Linked DNA regions of Mus musculus: all the other regions are reported to be linked to region 3. The links are microRNA targets in miRTarBase. Many come from high-throughput screens and were not tested one by one. Region 3 holds a microRNA gene; each other region holds the end of a gene's coding sequence.
Evidence for each region. The annotated mature microRNA mmu-miR-539-3p reads CAUACAAGGAUAAUUUCUUUUU and lies in region 3 at 1,193-1,214, opposite strand. An mRNA with a match to its seed (bases 2 to 7 or 8) in the 3' UTR can be bound and repressed. Matches are read on the target gene's strand: a 7mer-m8 pairs with bases 2 to 8, a 7mer-A1 pairs with bases 2 to 7 and ends in A, and an 8mer does both.

Region 1: the mRNA of Zbtb8b is a reported target of mmu-miR-539-3p. Seed matches in the 3' UTR shown: 7mer-m8 at 2,017-2,023 and 7mer-m8 at 2,066-2,072.
Region 2: miRTarBase lists Nectin1 as a target of mmu-miR-539-3p. Seed matches in the 3' UTR shown: 7mer-m8 at 3,697-3,703.
Region 4: miRTarBase lists Cdk7 as a target of mmu-miR-539-3p. The part of its 3' UTR that is shown has no 7-base or 8-base seed match.

Annotation. Positions count from the first base shown.
Region 1 is chr4:129,424,163-129,428,324 of GRCm38, reverse strand. Zbtb8b (zinc finger and BTB domain containing 8b) reads left to right here. Exons shown (of 4, transcript NM_153541.3): 4 at 498-2,560. The coding sequence ends at 812. Among named protein-coding and RNA genes, the nearest start is that of Zbtb8b, 15 kb to the left of the region's middle.
Region 2 is chr9:43,803,685-43,807,825 of GRCm38, forward strand. Nectin1 (nectin cell adhesion molecule 1) reads left to right here. Exons shown (of 6, transcript NM_021424.3): 6 at 1-3,777. The coding sequence ends at 332. Among named protein-coding and RNA genes, the nearest start is that of Gm46108, 15 kb to the left of the region's middle.
Region 3 is chr12:109,725,228-109,729,389 of GRCm38, reverse strand. Mir539 (microRNA 539) reads right to left here and starts at 1,261; the gene lies at 1,188-1,261. It overlaps Mir381 (microRNA 381), which reads right to left and starts at 2,568; the gene lies at 2,494-2,568. Mir487b (microRNA 487b) reads right to left here and starts at 2,057; the gene lies at 1,976-2,057. Mir544 (microRNA 544) reads right to left here and starts at 65; the gene lies at 1-65.
Region 4 is chr13:100,699,781-100,703,942 of GRCm38, reverse strand. Cdk7 (cyclin-dependent kinase 7) reads left to right here. Exons shown (of 12, transcript NM_009874.3): 12 at 437-4,162. The coding sequence ends at 465. Among named protein-coding and RNA genes, the nearest start is that of Cdk7, 29 kb to the left of the region's middle.

The DNA of each region.
Region 1 (4,162 bases), not on the chromosome of region 3:
GTTTGTGAAGTTTTCTCTTACCAGGTTAAAGCCAAGCTGGCGGCACTTAGAAAGTTAATGCTAGCCAGGTGTGGTGGCGCACACCTTTAATCCCAGTACTCCAGAGGCAGAGGCAGGAGGATTTCTGAGTTTGAGGCCAGCCTGGTCTACAGAGTGAGTTCCAGGACAGCCAGGGCTATACAGAGAAATCCTGTCTCGGAAAAAAAAAAGAAAAAAGAAAAAAGTTAATGCCGGTGTGCGAACAGGCCAGTTTTCCAAGAAGCCTAGCTTTTGTTCAAGGATGGCCGTCATGAGGCCAGAATTGGCAGGGCCAGCAGACTGTGAGTTTCTTCCCCTGGTAAGGACGTAGAGTAAGCTGTATCCCCAGTTTCCCACCAGAACTGATACCCTGAGGCAGGAGAGTAACTTGCCTCCGTTTGCACAGCAAGTACTGCTAGCTGCTAAGTCACCTCTCCAGCCTTTTCTTTGACCTTTACGGTGTCCCCTTGTGCTGGCAGGTCCACAGATCCAGCCGTCCAATTATCTGCAAAGGCTGTCGACGAACCTTTACGAGCCACCTGTCCCAAGGACTGCGGCGCTTCGGGCTGTGTGACAGTTGCACCTGTGTCACAGACCCCCAGGAGGAAGAGGACGACCTGATGCCTGTCAACCTTAGCCTGGTGGAGGCTTCATCTGAAAGCCACGAGAAGAGTGACACAGATGACTGGCCCATCTACATAGAGTCTGGTGAGGAGAATGACCCAACCGCGGAGGATTCTGACGACAAGCCACACATTCGGCCCAACTTACCAGCCCCAGAGACACTTACGTAGCAGTGACTCGGTGGGAAGGTTTTAAGTGTTGTGGCTTGTTCTACTGTGAAAGCTACCATTTGTCGAGTTCTGTGAGACTTGGGGATCATCTCCCCACAGTGTCGTTACACTTGGATTTTTTTGTTAGACGAAGGCTGGATGTTGTGACTCAAAAAGACTGATGACGTTTTAGCATGGAGTCTTGAGAGTTTTGTTGACGTCTCCTTGGTACTGACTGAATTGAGATTGAGCCCCGAGACTTCCTAATTTTCCTGCTGAGAAGCTGACTCTGGGCCGGAGATAAATAAGAAAACCTCCCAGCTTAGCACTATGCTGGTCTTTTACGTTCTTACATCATTACAGTCTTCTGAAGAGGTGGCAAGAGTATGTTGTCAGAACCTCTGTCTCTCCCCTGCCAGGCTTCTTGAAATGAACTCCACATTTAATTTTCTGGGAATCTGCTTCGATAAAAAGCAGGCGGGGCTAACTACGTGGTCATAAAAGGTACTCCCTAAATCTAAGACTATATGCCTAAAGGCTGGAGGAAGCTTTATGCAGACAAACACTGACACAAATTGCAAGTTTATTCTGGGCCCGCTGCTTGCCCACCTAGATTGAGTTAAGTTAAATGAGCCCCCAGAGAAGAGCCAGTGAGCCAGGGCAGAGTACTGTCCCCGTCTACTCTGCTATTTGACAATTCCGTACACACAAATCCCCTATTCTCAGATTATAAAGCAAGTCGTTTGGGCAAAAATCAAAAGGCTGCTTAGTCATTTCCCAGACATGCAACCTGGATATGCACACCCTCGTGACATTCCTGGGCATGCATGTCCCGCCTGACATCCTGCCACCTAGTTTATGCCCAGACTTGAACTGCAGGGGAGACATGCATGCCTAACTAACATTCAGGTTTTAGAAGACCACCTAGAAGGAAGGAGCTGGGTAGAACAGGTTTCAAGCCGGTCTGCTTTTCACCCACTCTGCAGCCAGGTCACAACTGTAGCAAAGCAAGTCGAGTGTCTCTAAAGTATGAAAGGACAGGAAAGACCATGGATGAATGGTGCACTAGAAGGTAGCTTGCAGACTTTTCTTAAAAGCATCTGAAGTGGACTTTAAAAGAAATCCCTTGTCTTCCTTTACTTTTAACACAGTTTCAAACAGCAGTGAAATCACCAGGTCTCTCTGCCTCTTGAACAATACCTAGTGAGAATCATTTATAAACTGCCTTGTATGTATTGTCTTGTCATTAAAGAGTGGAAGCTTTTGTTGGTTTGCTTGTATTTTGAGACAGGGTTTCTCTGGGGGGGGCCTTGGTTGCTGTGGAACCTGCTTATGTAGACCAGGCTGGCCTTGAACTCCTGAAGTTCTGACTGCCTCTGCCTCCCAAGGGCTGGGATTAAAGGCATGCGCCACCTCCCCTGGCAGGACTAGGGTTACAGCTCCTTGTCTGTCATTAGGAAGTCCCTGGGTCCAATCTCTAGTACTGCAATAAACAAATACCTAAATTTGTGTTGTCTGCAAGAAAAAAAAAGCCTTTTTTTTTTTTTTAAAGGAAGAAAGACGGCATGAGGGTTGGAGAGGTGGCTCAATGGTTAAGATCATTGGCTGCTCTTCCAGAGGACCTTGGTTCAATTCCCAGCACCCACATGGCAGCTCACAATTGTCTCTAACTCCAGTTCTGGGGATCTGACACCCTCACACCAATGCACATAAAATACAATAAAATAAATTATTTTAAAATTGTCAACTTTATAAAAAAGAAAGAAAGGAAGAAAGGAAGGAAGGAAGGAAGAAAAGAAAGATCTTTTAGTTTTCATAGTAGTAGGTGTTATATCCTGGACCTTGTCCATGCTGGGCAAGTACTCTCTACTGACTTAGTCCCCACCCGTGGATGGAAAGATATTTCAGTTGTACTTTAACAATTGTACCTGAGACTCTGATGACACTTTTACATTACTGTGATGCCCGCATTCTGTTAGACTTTGTTTCCTTGAACAAGGCATGGGCCATCTGAGGTGTAGTTACCTAGACAGCCACATCATAGAAAGACTGATACCACACAGGCCTAAGTGACATATGCCTTTATTAATCCCAGCACTTGGGAGGCAGAGGCAGGCAGATCTCTGAGTTCAAGGCCAGCCTGGTCTACAAAGTGAGTTCCAGGACAGCCAGGGATATAAAAACAATAGTACCAAGGTTGAGAAATTCTAGATATAAAGTGGGGTTTTGAATGATGTTAATTTTGGGTTCTGCTTCTGAGTCCAGATGTTTCACAGTTTGCCCAATGCCTAGTGTAGGTGTTATGACATAGAAACTTAGAAATCCTACCAGGTATGGTAGGAAACAACTGGAATCCCAGCACTAGGGAAGAGGAGGGCAGAGGATCAGGAATTCAAGGTCAGTCTCAGCTACAAAGCAAGTTCAAGGCCAGGGTGGGATACTTAAGAAGTTGTATTGGCAGGGATGATGGTGCACACCTTTAACTGGAGGTCCAGCTGTGCTCAGCACTCCAGAGGCAGAAAGAAGCAGGGGGCTCTCTGTGAGTTGGAAGTCAGCCTGGTTTACATAACAAGTTCCAGGCCAGCGAGGGCCTGTCTGAAATAAATAAATAAATAAATAAATAAATAAATAAATAAATGAAGTAGAAATGAATGAATGAATGAATAAATAAATAAATAAATAAAGTAGAAATGAATGAATGAATGAATGAATGAATGAATAAATAAATAATAAAAATGAAAAGCTAGAGAGATGGTATAGGCTTAGGTTTTTCAAAACCTATTTTAATAAGGGTATTTTAATAAGGGTACTCAAACGTTTCGCCTCCCCTTCTAGCCCACCAAAGGTAGGGGAGAAAAGAAGGTGATAGGACAAGGGTATGTGTGCCTGTTTAGAACTAGTTCTTTCGGGTGATTCCAATTCCCATTGTCAGGATACCAGTCCAAAAGTGTCAGAAGTGGCACAATCCAGCAGAAACTGCCAGGCCTCTGCTGAATCGGCAGGAGTCATTGGAAGCAACCGGGACCAGCTGGGATGCCATCTTTCTCTCAATAAAGGGAAGATTAGTGAAGATGCAATGCCAAGGGAGTGTTTGTTGCATGAGTGTAGCTGTGCAAGCACTTTGTCTCCTCCATTGAGTCCTATTTATATTCTCTCCAAACATCATGTGTCCTCTCCTGGGTCTTGCCTCAGCAAAATATCACGTGAGGCTGCATCACATGACACAACCAGAAATTTCTACTTCATAATGGTGTGGTGGTTAAGAGCTCTTATTGCTCTCACAGAGGACCCAAGTTCAGTTCCCAGCATCCCAGCTGCTTGAAACTGCAGCCCTAGGAATAGCTGATGCCTCTGACCTCCGTGGTCACCTG
Region 2 (4,141 bases), not on the chromosome of region 3:
AGCATCACCCGCCCATGGCACAGAACCTGCAGTACCCGGATGACTCGGATGATGAAAAGAAGGCCGGCCCATTGGGCGGGAGCAGCTATGAGGAGGAAGAGGAGGAGGAGGGCGGTGGAGGAGGCGAACGTAAGGTGGGCGGCCCCCACCCCAAATATGACGAGGACGCCAAACGGCCCTACTTCACTGTGGATGAGGCTGAGGCCCGTCAGGACGGCTATGGGGACCGGACTCTGGGCTACCAGTATGACCCTGAACAGCTGGACTTGGCTGAGAACATGGTTTCTCAGAACGACGGGTCTTTCATTTCCAAGAAAGAGTGGTATGTGTAGCCCCGCCTTCTGGAGCCTCTGTCTGTGCCCACTTCTCCCAGGCCCCTACCCGCACGCCCCCCTGCCCACCCCCACAGCCCACTGCCCTAAACCAGCCCCAAACTCCTGAGGAGCCAGAGGAGCTCAGGGCAGACCCCACTTGGCTTCGTTTTTTTGTTTTTTGTTTGTTTTTTGTTTTTTTTTTTTTAATTTCCTCCCTCACCCACCCTTCCCCCTGGTGTTGTGTTCGACCGTGGCTTTGGTGTTGCTGTACCTTTCCTTTAAGGACCCCTTCCACTGCCCTGTGTGTAGGGAGCCCTGTTCTTGTCTTGTGTACTTGGGCATCCCTCCAGGGTTTGGGGAGCCAGTCCTCTCCCACCCCCCCACCCCCATCCCCCAACACTGGAATTTGTTTGTGTTCTCTCCGTTGGGAATGGAGGGCAAAGGGAGCTTCGAGATGGAGAGCACCCTCACCCCCACCCGATATGCTGCTCCTCTTCTCAGAAAGATGTAACCCAAGCCCCCACTAAGCTGATGCAGTCAGTGCACCTAAGAGGTTTTAGAGGAGTTCTCCGTGGTACCCAGGGGAGTCTTGTGTGGGGAATAATGGAGCTGAGGGTTCTGCTGGGGTCCTGGGCAGTGTGTTTTCCTGGTGAGGGTGGTTTTATGTTTTCTTTTTTTTTTTCTTTCTGGCCCCCCAAATGGAGTTGGCGTAGCTCTCATATACCCCTCTCTGTTAACGCCCAGTCCGTTCTGTACACAGTGGGTGACCCCAGGTGGATTCTACCCACAGTTCCTATATGCCTCTGCCAACATATGCACACATATCCATGCACACATCCCTGGGCCTATGCCAACCTCTCACGCCCTGCCCAGGCTGAACACTGCCCGAGGCCCAACCCTCTGCTCCACCTCTTACCCGTTCCCAGCTCAGGAAGGGATCAGCCCACAGAAGCATTCAGAGTCAGCTAGGATGAACCTCCCGCACCCACCCACCCACCCCCAAAGCCACTCTACAATTTCAGTGTAGCTCCAACCTTTCCTGACAATGTACATGTTTCTCGGATTTCTCCTTATCTGTCAAGTGCTAGCAACACTTGACTCTTCTGGAAAGTCAGGGCTGGGATCCCAGGAAGGAATGCGAGGCACAGAATTATTGAGACGGAGAAGGCTGCTTTGTGGAAACTGCAAACACAATTGAAGGGGGACTGCTAGCGTCTCATATGGGAAGGCTGGCCTAGATGTGTCTCGGGTCTCAAAGAAAGTGCAGGGGCACCGGGGACCTGCTGCGTATCCACAGACTGACCCCTGCTCACTCTCTCCTGGTGCCAGACTGGCAAGATGGCCGTGTAGAAGGGCCTTTGCATGCAGTCTCCCTCTTTGAATGGGATTCTGGCTTTGTCAGCCGTTCGGGGCTGGGCCTTCCCTTGAGTGCATGGAAAAAGGTCTCCCCACCCCACCTCACCCCAGCCCTCTGTCCCCAAGCTCAAAGTGCCTCGGTTTCTCCATCTGTGCCCCCAGATTACCCTCATTCTAAATGGGCATTCCCAGGGCCTGCCTGTCAGGATCTCAGCCAACTCAGCCCTAAGTGACACTCGCTGAGGGATCACAAACATTGGGGAGAGGGAGGCAGACCATTCTGTGCCCTACGGGCACTGACCCACCCTGCCATAGGCTTCCTAAGGGAGCCCCAGCCCACACCCCACTCCTCCCTGGTGCTGCTATTGAGTTCCCAGTCCAAGCGCCATCTCTGGCACCCCTTACTCAGCCCACCAGCTGGGGCTCTTCTGCCAGGCCCTCACTGCCCTAGTCCCAGCCCAGGCCGCCCAGTAGCCACGTAGCAGAAGTCTGAAGCCATGCCAGCCCTGGGGCGGCTCTCCGTCTTGGCATTGGGGACACTGGATGGGGTGAAGTTTGGGGAAGAAAATTCTGGGGCCTTTCTAGCCACAGGGAGAAGGAAGATGGAGGAGCTGGGCTGCTTCTCCCAGAAGTATTAGTGTCCTTTCCATGTCACAGCTCATCCTGTTCCTCATACCACTCTGCCCCTCTCCTTGGTCCCCCTCCCCCACCCCCAAGGCAGGAGGCAGAACCCTGACTGCCCCAGAGTGGTATTTCTGTCCCTATGGGGCCATAAGACTGAAAGACTCACCCTCCCGAGTCTCTCGCACCTTTCACGGTCATCCCCTATCCCCTGTCTTGTGATGGATCGAGGAGGCCCTGGGCCTGGACAAAGCACCTAAGCTCCCTGTACAAACCTGCACGCCTTTCCCCGAAGCAAAGCACAATTTATAGGGTCCATGCAGCAGGATCTAGGATCCCCAGCCGTGGCACTGAGCGCTTCCAGGCGGCCGCCACCTGGGCTAAGAAAGGACAGGAGTCAGGGGTCGGTAGCTGGACCCAAGGAGAAGGGGCTTTTCTTGCCCTGTGTTTGCGGGACAGTGGACACAGCCAGCTGACAGTGTGACAGAGCGGAGGGCATTTTGCTTCACCTTCATGCCCCCCCCCCCCAGCACAGCTGAGCTTCTGCCAGACTGCGGAGAGTAAACTTGGTGTGTTACCTGCCCAGACCCCTCCGGATGTCGTCCCTAGCTGCCCTCCCCCTCCTGTCCCTCCCCTGCCCCTGGACCCCTGTTTCCCTACAGATTTTGGTATTGTTCTGGTGTGCAACAACCCTCTGAGTCTCTTTTACCAGAAGGACCTGAAATACAGCAACACACAATTAGTGAACACACGCCCAGCACACCAACACACGCCTTCCACAGACCAAGCACAGGTGTGTGTGTGTGTGTGTGCACAAGTACACACATAAACGAGAAACCTGTATTAATTAATGCTCGGGCCCCAAGCCCTGGGAAGGCGCACCCTCTGCCAGCCACCCCAGCGTGCCCCAGTCACTGGTGCAATAACCTTCCTGCCATCGTCCAGGTGGGAGAATCAGGACTCACGTCAGGTGGGTGAGGCCACCCCTCTGAGCCCAGCAGACACTGCATCCTTTCCTGGGAGGAGGGGGGTGCTCCCAGGCCTCTGGAGGAGTCCAGGTAGAGACTTCCCCAAGCCTAACTGCCAACTGAAACCCTCTCCTGGTGAGGGCAGGTGGCTCCAGCTGACCTGGGCCGGAGACACCGAGAGGTGAGGAACCAGCCTCGCTGATGCTGCTTTCTGACCCCAGCTGTGAAGAGTGGGCTGGGGGGAAGAGGGTGACTTTTTTTTTTTTTAACAAATGGAAACAAAATCCAGGAGAAGCTGCCACCCTCGCCTGAGTGTGACTAAGCTTCCTTTGCTTCAGTTTCTATGTCACTGTTTTCCTCTTTGGTCCTGGGGACAGCCCAGCAGATTCCCCTGGTCCTGACCTGGAGGGGGGGAGTGGTTGCCCCGCCCCCTTTTACTTGTATTAAAAAAAAAAGATGGGTTGAAAATGTACTGAGAAAAAAAATGTACTTTTTTATAAATAAAGTGTTTAAAACAAGCCCAAGTGCCTCTTGTCACTGCAGTGGGGTGTGAGCAAGAGAAGGAGACAGACAACCGGACAGCAGGGACGACAAAGGCCAGAGTATCTGATTCTATGATAGGGACTCATTGAGGGGCCACATGGCCACCTTGCGGGCTTCAATGGAGCTATCCCAGGAGACATGAGCTGCGCAGGGCACAGGGGGATGGATGGCTGGCATCTGCTGGCCAGGGCCAAGGCATGGGGGTGTGGGGCAAGAACTGGATGACAAAACTGCACAGCTGAGGAAGGAAGGGCTGCTCCGGCTAGAGTCACAGGCAGCCCCTGCTCCAGAGCTCTTATGTCAGTCACCACCCCTCCCTAGGTCGCTCTCCTCTCGCTC
Region 3 (4,162 bases):
CTTGCTAAAAATGCAGAATCTTGGCCCCTCAATCAGACTCTGCTTTTTAACAAGATCCCTAGGTGACGAATATCTTAGCAGCGTTGAGCAGTTTGAGAGGCCCTACACTAACCAACAATTTGTACAAGCATGCATGCAGGCACACACACACACACACACACACACACACACACACACACACACACACCAGATTATGGAATGAGCTGAAATGGTATGCTATTGACCAGGTATGTCTAAGAAAAAGTCAGCCCAAAGGAAGCCATAGGAACAGATAGAGAGTGACTTAAGGCAGCGGCGGCGGCAGGAAGTATCCTTATTAACACCTGTATTAACCACAGGAAGTCTATGCTCAGAATGGATGCTGAGGAGAGTGGGTGCTGGACCTAGAAGACCCTGGCCAAGTTCTGTCTACCTAAAGAGATGCTTGACCCAGTACCTTCTCAAGGAGTTCCTCTGAACTAAGACTTAACAGCAACAACAGACAGGTGAGTTATTCTCAGTGTTCTCCAGACCAAGCACAAAGAAGCAAGCCACCAAAGCTGTTGCCACCTCAAAGCTGTCACTGTGAGAGTACATGGGGGGGGGGGTGCCTTCTGAGGTTACTCTGCCTCAATAAATTCTCCCTCTCCTGCAGCAGGTACCAATGTCCATTAGCTGAAGTCACCACTGTGCTCTAGGACCTTCGGAAGCAAATCCAGATATGGGGCAAACAATGGTCGTCCCAATTAATCTCCATAAATATGGCGAGCACACTATTGATAGCCACCCTGCAAATGTCAGAGAACCACCGCACCGAGAAAAACCGCAGGACCTCCTCTCACGATCCAGACCAGACAGCTCGCCGGCCTCTGTCATTCAAGCACATGCTTGTGGAACCAGTCACACTCTTGAGCAAGGGGCCGGGGCCTGACCCCAGTGACTATCTGTGAGATTGGCTGCCCATCCAAAAAAAAAAAGAACGATTTGCCAAGTCATGAAAACTGTGCTATCTCACCATGACCAAGCCACGTAGGAACCCCTGGACTCTTCAAGCAAGATCCTGACTTGGGATCAGAGTGTAGCTCTTACACATCAGTTCTGTGCTCTCTTGCCTTGTGCCCAGGTAAGGCTAACCCATGCATCATGCACCAGGCACCTCTTTAAACAACCGTCTCGTCATCCCGGAAGTCCACCAGGGCAGTATTTGATACTCAAAAAGAAATTATCCTTGTATGATTCATCCAAAAGAGCCAACACACCAAGGATAATTTCTCCTCAAGTATGAAACAGTAGCACAGCAGGAATACCAGCATCCATAGGCCTCTTGGGAGTGATCACCACTCCTCACACGTGGCTGCACCCAATACATACATGCACCATGCATGCAGTACTACTGATGGCCATTCTAAGCACCAGGGAGGTGAGAGGCTATAGAAATGACTCCCCAGGACTCAGCATGACAACCTCACGTTAGCCTCTTCTAAGGGTAATGGTGGCTGGGGTCAAGAAGCCAGGCAGTGTCCATCTTAAGTGGAGCAAGCATTGTGGGTGGCCCTGCTGACCCCCGGCATGGGGTCTTCTGTTCTAGAAGCTGCTACAGAAATGATGTCACTGCCGAGTCACAAGCACCACCTTGTAAGTCCAGCACAAACTCTAAGCTCCAACACCCACTCACATGACTGACAGAGAATGTCTGTCTCAACATGGGCTCCCAAATCCAAGGAGAGGTTTGTATATCACCATCATAGCTGCCAGCAGTCAGCTCCCAGCAGACAAAAGTTTGGGCTGGCACATGGTCAATAATGAGCCTAGTCCCTACAAGAGCCTGATCTCTCCCAGCCCCCGAGAGCCATATGCATTGGACCCCAAGAGGACTCGCGAGTGACACACGAGACAAGGAGCATAACACGGCGACACCCTTGTCCAAGGATGTGTGATGGGAAGTGGCAGTGGCAGGATCCAGGCGCAGGAAGCCAGGCTGCAGAGTCTGCGCACTTGATACTGAAAAAGTGGATGACCCTGTACGATTCGGCATGAGTGAAGCGAAGAGGACAGGGATAACCACTCTCCAAGTACCAAAGCTCGGCCTGGAAAGCAAAGCCACCGCCTCAGGTAGACGTGCTACGTCTTCCAGGTAGGGTCCTGGGGACGAATTAGACGCTGAGCGTTAGCAGACTGGGTCACACACACCAAGCAAGAACATGCACACTTGGGTACCACGGCACGGCAGCACATCAAAAAACAACGGCCCACACCAGCACAGACCTGACCATCAGCCTGGGAAAGCAGGGACCCAGGCTACACACAGAGAGCATGCTTTGGGACCAACCCATATGGACAAGGAGAGGGGATGTACCCGAGGTCTTTCCTGAAGTCATCTTGCGCCCATGAAGCCGTTGGTGCATAAAGGAAACCCAGGAAGCAGTTTGTCACACACAAGATGGATACACACGGTCATGCACACACATACCACATCCCTCGCTGAGTGTGGACGGGATCCAAGATAAGGTTTGATACTCACAGAGAGCTTGCCCTTGTATATTCCATGTCAATAAACCGAATATACAAAGGGCAACCTCGCTTTAAGTACCAAACAATAGCATGGGGCAGGTTCCGCTCTAGCATTCACGGGGTCAGCCTCGTCTCCTGGGACTTAGCCTGGGGAGGGATGATGGGAGATTCGGAATCAGCCAATTACATGGCAAACACCACCTGCCAGATGTGTGCCCACTGGTCAGCTCTCCATCCAAGGAGCTTGGGCTGGGACAGATACTTGGGGGGTGGGGGGGACCTTTTTCTGATATTACTGGCAGATGTTACAACAGATTGAGATTTTCACTCTCTCAGGAAATACAGAACTCAGATTTTTGCTTTCTGTAGGTAAACCCTGGTTAGGACTACAATCTTATCCTTAGCACTTTCTCTATGATGCCCACCTGGCTGTACACTGCACACAGAGGACAGGAGGACCCCAGGAATTTATAGAAGTGATTAAAGCCAATCCTTTCTGCCTTCCCAGTAACGGGTATCAGTGTCACTCCCAGGACCGGACCCTGCCCCACTAATTCTGCCCGATAGTGGAATGGGACAGAACTAGAAGGAAGTTGATGCCATACAGGGGTCAAACTCCACATGCCACTGAATGATGGAACCATCTTTCCTTTTTGGGACCTCTTCCCCAGAAAAGAGCAGGCAGGAATGGCCACAGGTTTGCACTGAATCATGGCAAGGAAAAACACTCACCTTTTTTTGACGGGATGGGTTGCTTCCATAGGTGCGGGCTGTTAAAACTGCCCCCTTCTGATCTAGGTATAGCCACAGAAGAACACCAGATAGACCGCACGGAATGGGAAACTTCAGCCTCTTCCCAAAGACAGACACCACTTCCAGGAAGTCCTCACTTGGAGAGGGGTGGACCAGGCCTGAAATCATTATAAATAAAGATGTATAAACCAGTACTTGTATCAAAGCTGGGATAGTCTAACATCATGCTTTATCTTCTAAGGTGAATGCTGTGAGCAACAAGGCTCTGGAGATGGCTTGGTACAAACAGACGGCAGGTCTGAGGGCCACTGTCTTTTAACAAGCAAGCCACTGTTGGGTGATTATGTTCAATGCAAGTGCAACAGGCACCACAGTACCCTCTCCCACCCTCAAGAGCAAAAGATCAGGCACCAAGAGGACAAGGAGGACCAGAGACTAATAGCTTAGCCAAAGGTCCCATCTTAGAACCAAGAATTGGTACATACCCGAGAAAGTCAGAAGTCACGTTGTATCAGGAGACCTGACCCAAAGATGGAACAGGGCTGGAGTAGTTCCCAGATAGAGTTAGATGTGAGGACAAGTGCCTCTTGCAGTCTATTACCATCAATAAAGAGAACATACCGGAGGCTATCCTCTTTACATGAACCAAGAGTTGGGCCAGGGAACAGTGAAGCACCTGTGAGCCTGGGCTGAGCACAGGGGCTGGTGAAGCAAGCCTCAGCTGGCTGGCTCTGGAATTGGCTGCATACTCTGCACACTGGTACCCAGCCCTAAAGTTAGTTTACTTCTCAGTATCACTCCAAAACAGGGTGATCTTCCAAAAGACTAGGGTGGGGCATGGGAGGATGGGCATGGGGTGGGGTGGGGGTGGGGATTCTGTGTAACTTAACAAAAAAGTGACAGAGAATGATTGGCATTC
Region 4 (4,162 bases), not on the chromosome of region 3:
ACTCGCCTGGAACGCAGTAGTTAGATGAATCTGGCCTTTTTGAACTTTGCCTCTTGAATGCTAGAATTAAGTACATGTTCAGCACACCCAGATGGCTTTGTTTTTAACTGTATTATTTTGAAATTTTTTGTTACTTTTATGTGTATGAATATTTTATTTGCATGTATGTCTGTACCACATGTGTGCAGTCTCTGTGAAGGCCAGAAGAGGGCATCAGATTCCTGGGACTGGAGTTACAGATGCTTCATGCTGCTGTGTGGCTGTTGGCAGTTGAGCCCAGGTCCTCTGGGAGAGCAGTGAGTGCTCTTAACTGCCAAGCCAGCTCTCCTGCCCTCTGCCCAGCGGTTCTTACTCTGTGTTAATGGTTAGCAATGCCTGTAAGTTAGATAATGCTCTGGAGTACAGTGAGTGAACAACCTTTCTGTTTTACTTTCAGGAATATTGCCCAAGAAGCTCATTTTTTAGTTGCAGCGAACAATGGACAGTTTCACTGCTGAAATAAATGATCCAAAGGCAAATAATGGAAAAAATAGTGAATATTAAATGCTATAAGAGAGAACTTGTAAATATTCTACAGATGTAAAATATGTAAAACTACGGGTTATTTTTATTAAATGTATTTTACAATAAATATTTGTGATTTATGATTAGAGTACAAGGATAACTGCAGTCTCTAAAATGTAATTGACAGTGCATTGGGAGAGGCTTGGCATGCGATTCCTGGTTATTCTGCAGCTCTGGGTGATCTGCCACTTTAAGATCATTAGGTATAGTATTGAAAACAGAAAACAATACTGTTAGCAGTTTTGCAAGAGCTTTAGCCTACTTACTACCCAGAGTAAGCCCTGAAAAGATGGCCCTGACGCCTCCCTGATGTCCTGTCATCTCGAACTCACTACGCTCCTCCTGCACGCACAGCCAGGACCTTGGCACTGCTCATCCCATTCCTTTGACCCTCCCCCAAGGAAGAGGCCTCGGGGAGATTTGTGTTTGTCTTCCATGGTTTTGTACTGCTATCTTCAAAGAGTTCCATCTCACCTTATGGCAGCCTATGCCTTTGATCCTAGCATGTATGGAAGTGGATCTCTAAGTTTGAGGACAGCCTGGTCTACATAGTGAGCTCCAGGCCAGCCAGAGCTACGCAGTAAGGTCCTCTCTCAAAAAGCATAAATAAACAAAATAATCCTACTATAGCTCATACTATTGCTTTCTGTTTTTTACTTAGAAACTTTCTTTCCATATTAATAGATCTAAATTGAGTTGATTTAATTACCATATGATAATATAGTACATAAATAGTGTAATTTACCTGTGCTTTGTTTATGGACTATTATTTTTTTATTGCTGTATAAATTTTATCATGAACATGGCACGAATCGCCAGGCATAGTGGTGGTTTGTCCCTGTCCAAACTCGGGAGGTAGAGGCAGTTGGATCTCTCTGAATTCAGCCTGGATTCAGAGTGAGCTCCAGAGCTACGTAGTGAGGACCAGTTTGTGTGTAAAGGTGGTAGAGTATGTCCTACCATCTATGAACACCTGGCACTGTAACACATTAAAGTAACTAAGTAGCATGGCTCAACTCCTTTACAAGTGTCAAGCAAGCCTGAAACAAGGGGACAAGGTGTTGGCCATATGAGCATTCCTGGTGACCAAGGAGGCCAGAAAATGGCATTGGATCCCCTGAAACTGGAATTTTGGATGGCTATAATCCACCACGAGGTGCTGGAAATTGAACCCAGGTCCTCTGAAAGAGCAGCCAGTGCCTAATTACTGAGTCCTCTCCCACTGCACATGAACTTTCTGTATGGAACCTTTGGGTGAGCAAAACCTCACTCCTATTCTGCATTCTCCTTGAGTCTTATGGGGATTCAAAAATTATGATTGATACAAAACTCATAGAAGAAAAACTTTACAAAATTATGTAATACCCGTTTGCATGGGGCCAGGTTTGGCTGCTCGTGCCTATAATCTCATCCTTGTCAGGCTGAGTAATGACTGCCTCAGATTTAAGGCCAGCCCAGTTACAAACAGCTCTATGCCAGTCTGTCCTCAAAGCAAGCCCCACCCATCTCAAAAAGCAAAACAAGAATAGTTTTTGGCATGGGAGCCTCACAAAGGCATAGAGAACCTGTTAAGAATCAACTACTGAGCTGGGTGAGCTAGGCAGGGGCAGAGAGGTATCTATGAGTTTGAGGATATCCTGGTCTAAAAAGTAAATTCTCAGGCAGCCAGGGATATACCATAAAACCCCGTCTCATGAATAAAGACAACTACTTGTTATATTAGGAATGACTAGTAAGTAAAGAAAAAGTGCTAAGGCAGAATGGCTTGGTCCAGAAAGTTAGCTCTAAAGGGAAACAGCTGGGGAAATAAGGATCAACAGGGTTGGTTATGCAGACTTCAGCATCGTGCTCGTCCTTGGGGCTGAATAGGCATCTTTTTCCCCACAGGGAAAAAAATTATTTTGGTTTTTGTTTGTTTGTTTGTTTTTTGAGACAGGGTTTCTCTGTGTAGCCCTGACTGTCCCGGAACTCACTCTGTAGACCAGGCTGGCCTCGAACTCGGAAATCTGCCTGCCTCTGCCTCCCAAGTGCTGGGATTAAAGGCGTGCGCCACCACGCCTGGCCCCCACAGGAAAATTTTAATCTCTCTCTTTATTAACTTTTTATGTGGATGAGTGCTTTGCCTGCTTGTCACATGTGTGCTGGTACTTCGAGTTCAGAAGGTGGCAGTCTCCTACAGTTATGTGATTGTGTTCTAGGTAAACCTGGGTCATCTGCGAGAGCTACAATGACCCATCTTTTAGCCATCATCTCATGCTTTAAGAACTGCACAGTGATTATTTTATCTTTTGTGTGTTTGATAAGCATGCATGTGTGCACTCACTCCACAGCACATGTATGTCAGTGGACAACCTTGTGTCAATTTTTTCTGCCAGTGTTTTTGGGGGAAATATGTCAAGCCACTCTGCTTGCCCATGAGTTTCCAGAGACCCTTTGACCTTACTGTAGAGCCCCGGGAGTGCAGATACATGCTCCTCTTTATACTCACTGGTTTTGGGGTGTCTTTGGCAGAGTAGTGTATCTTTTTTTTTCTTTTGGGGGAGGAAAGGGTTTATTCGGCTTACACTTCCATACTGCTGTTCATCACCAAGGAAGTCAGGACTGGAACTCAAGCAGGTCAGGAAGCAGGAGCTAATGCAGAGGCCATGGAAGGATGTTCCTTACTGGCTTGCTTCCCCTGGAGTAGTGTATCTTTAACTTCTGAGCGGCTCAGTTGTTGCTCTGTTGCTATGATACAGTTCTCTGACAAAAGCGCCTTAAAGGAGAAAGGCCTCATTTTGCCTTAGGATTTCCCTTGAAATTCAGTCCACCATGGTGGAGGAGGCTGGTTGGTCGCACGGTCCTTGTACTCAGATACAGAGAATGAACAGGAGTAGGGTGGAGCTAGACAGCCTTAAAGCCTACCCCAGTGACCCAGACAGAGTGACACTTAAGCCTGCGGGGAACAGTTCACATTCAAACCACAACAGAGGTTTTAGGCAGAATCTGCTACCAAGCTCACACAGTGTTTGTAGTTTTGGACAGGGCTGTACTGGAACTCACTATGGTCTTGAACTCAGAGCTCACCTCCCTCACCTCTCAAGTGATGAGACTAAAGGTGTGCACCACCAAATGGCCTTCTTATAGTTCTTAGAAATTGTTTGGTGCTGGGATCAAGCCTAGGGCTGTGCACATAACTGATGCACACTGAGCCACAGCCTGAGTCCCAGCTCTTAGTCCTAATAGAGTGCCCTGTTGCCCAGGCTTTTGGTGCTGTTACCTCTAGGCTTAACTTTTTTCTTTCTTTCCTACATGCCTAAGCAGGTTATCTCAGGCTAGCCTTGAACTTATCCTCCTAAGGACCCCATTTAGGATGATGGGCATGCTCCATCACGCTAATGCTTGTTCTTCGTTGTTGTTTGTTTTAGTCTTTTTAAGACAGGGTTTCTCTGTGTAGCTTTGGCTATCCTAGAACTTACTCTGTAGATGAGGCTAGCCTCAAACTCAGAGATCTGAGTGCTGGGATTAAAGGCGAATGCCACCACCGGCTGGCTTAACTCTTGGGTTTTTAACATAGCTCACATTTCTTTTACTGTGTGCTCACTTTCCACAAATTAGC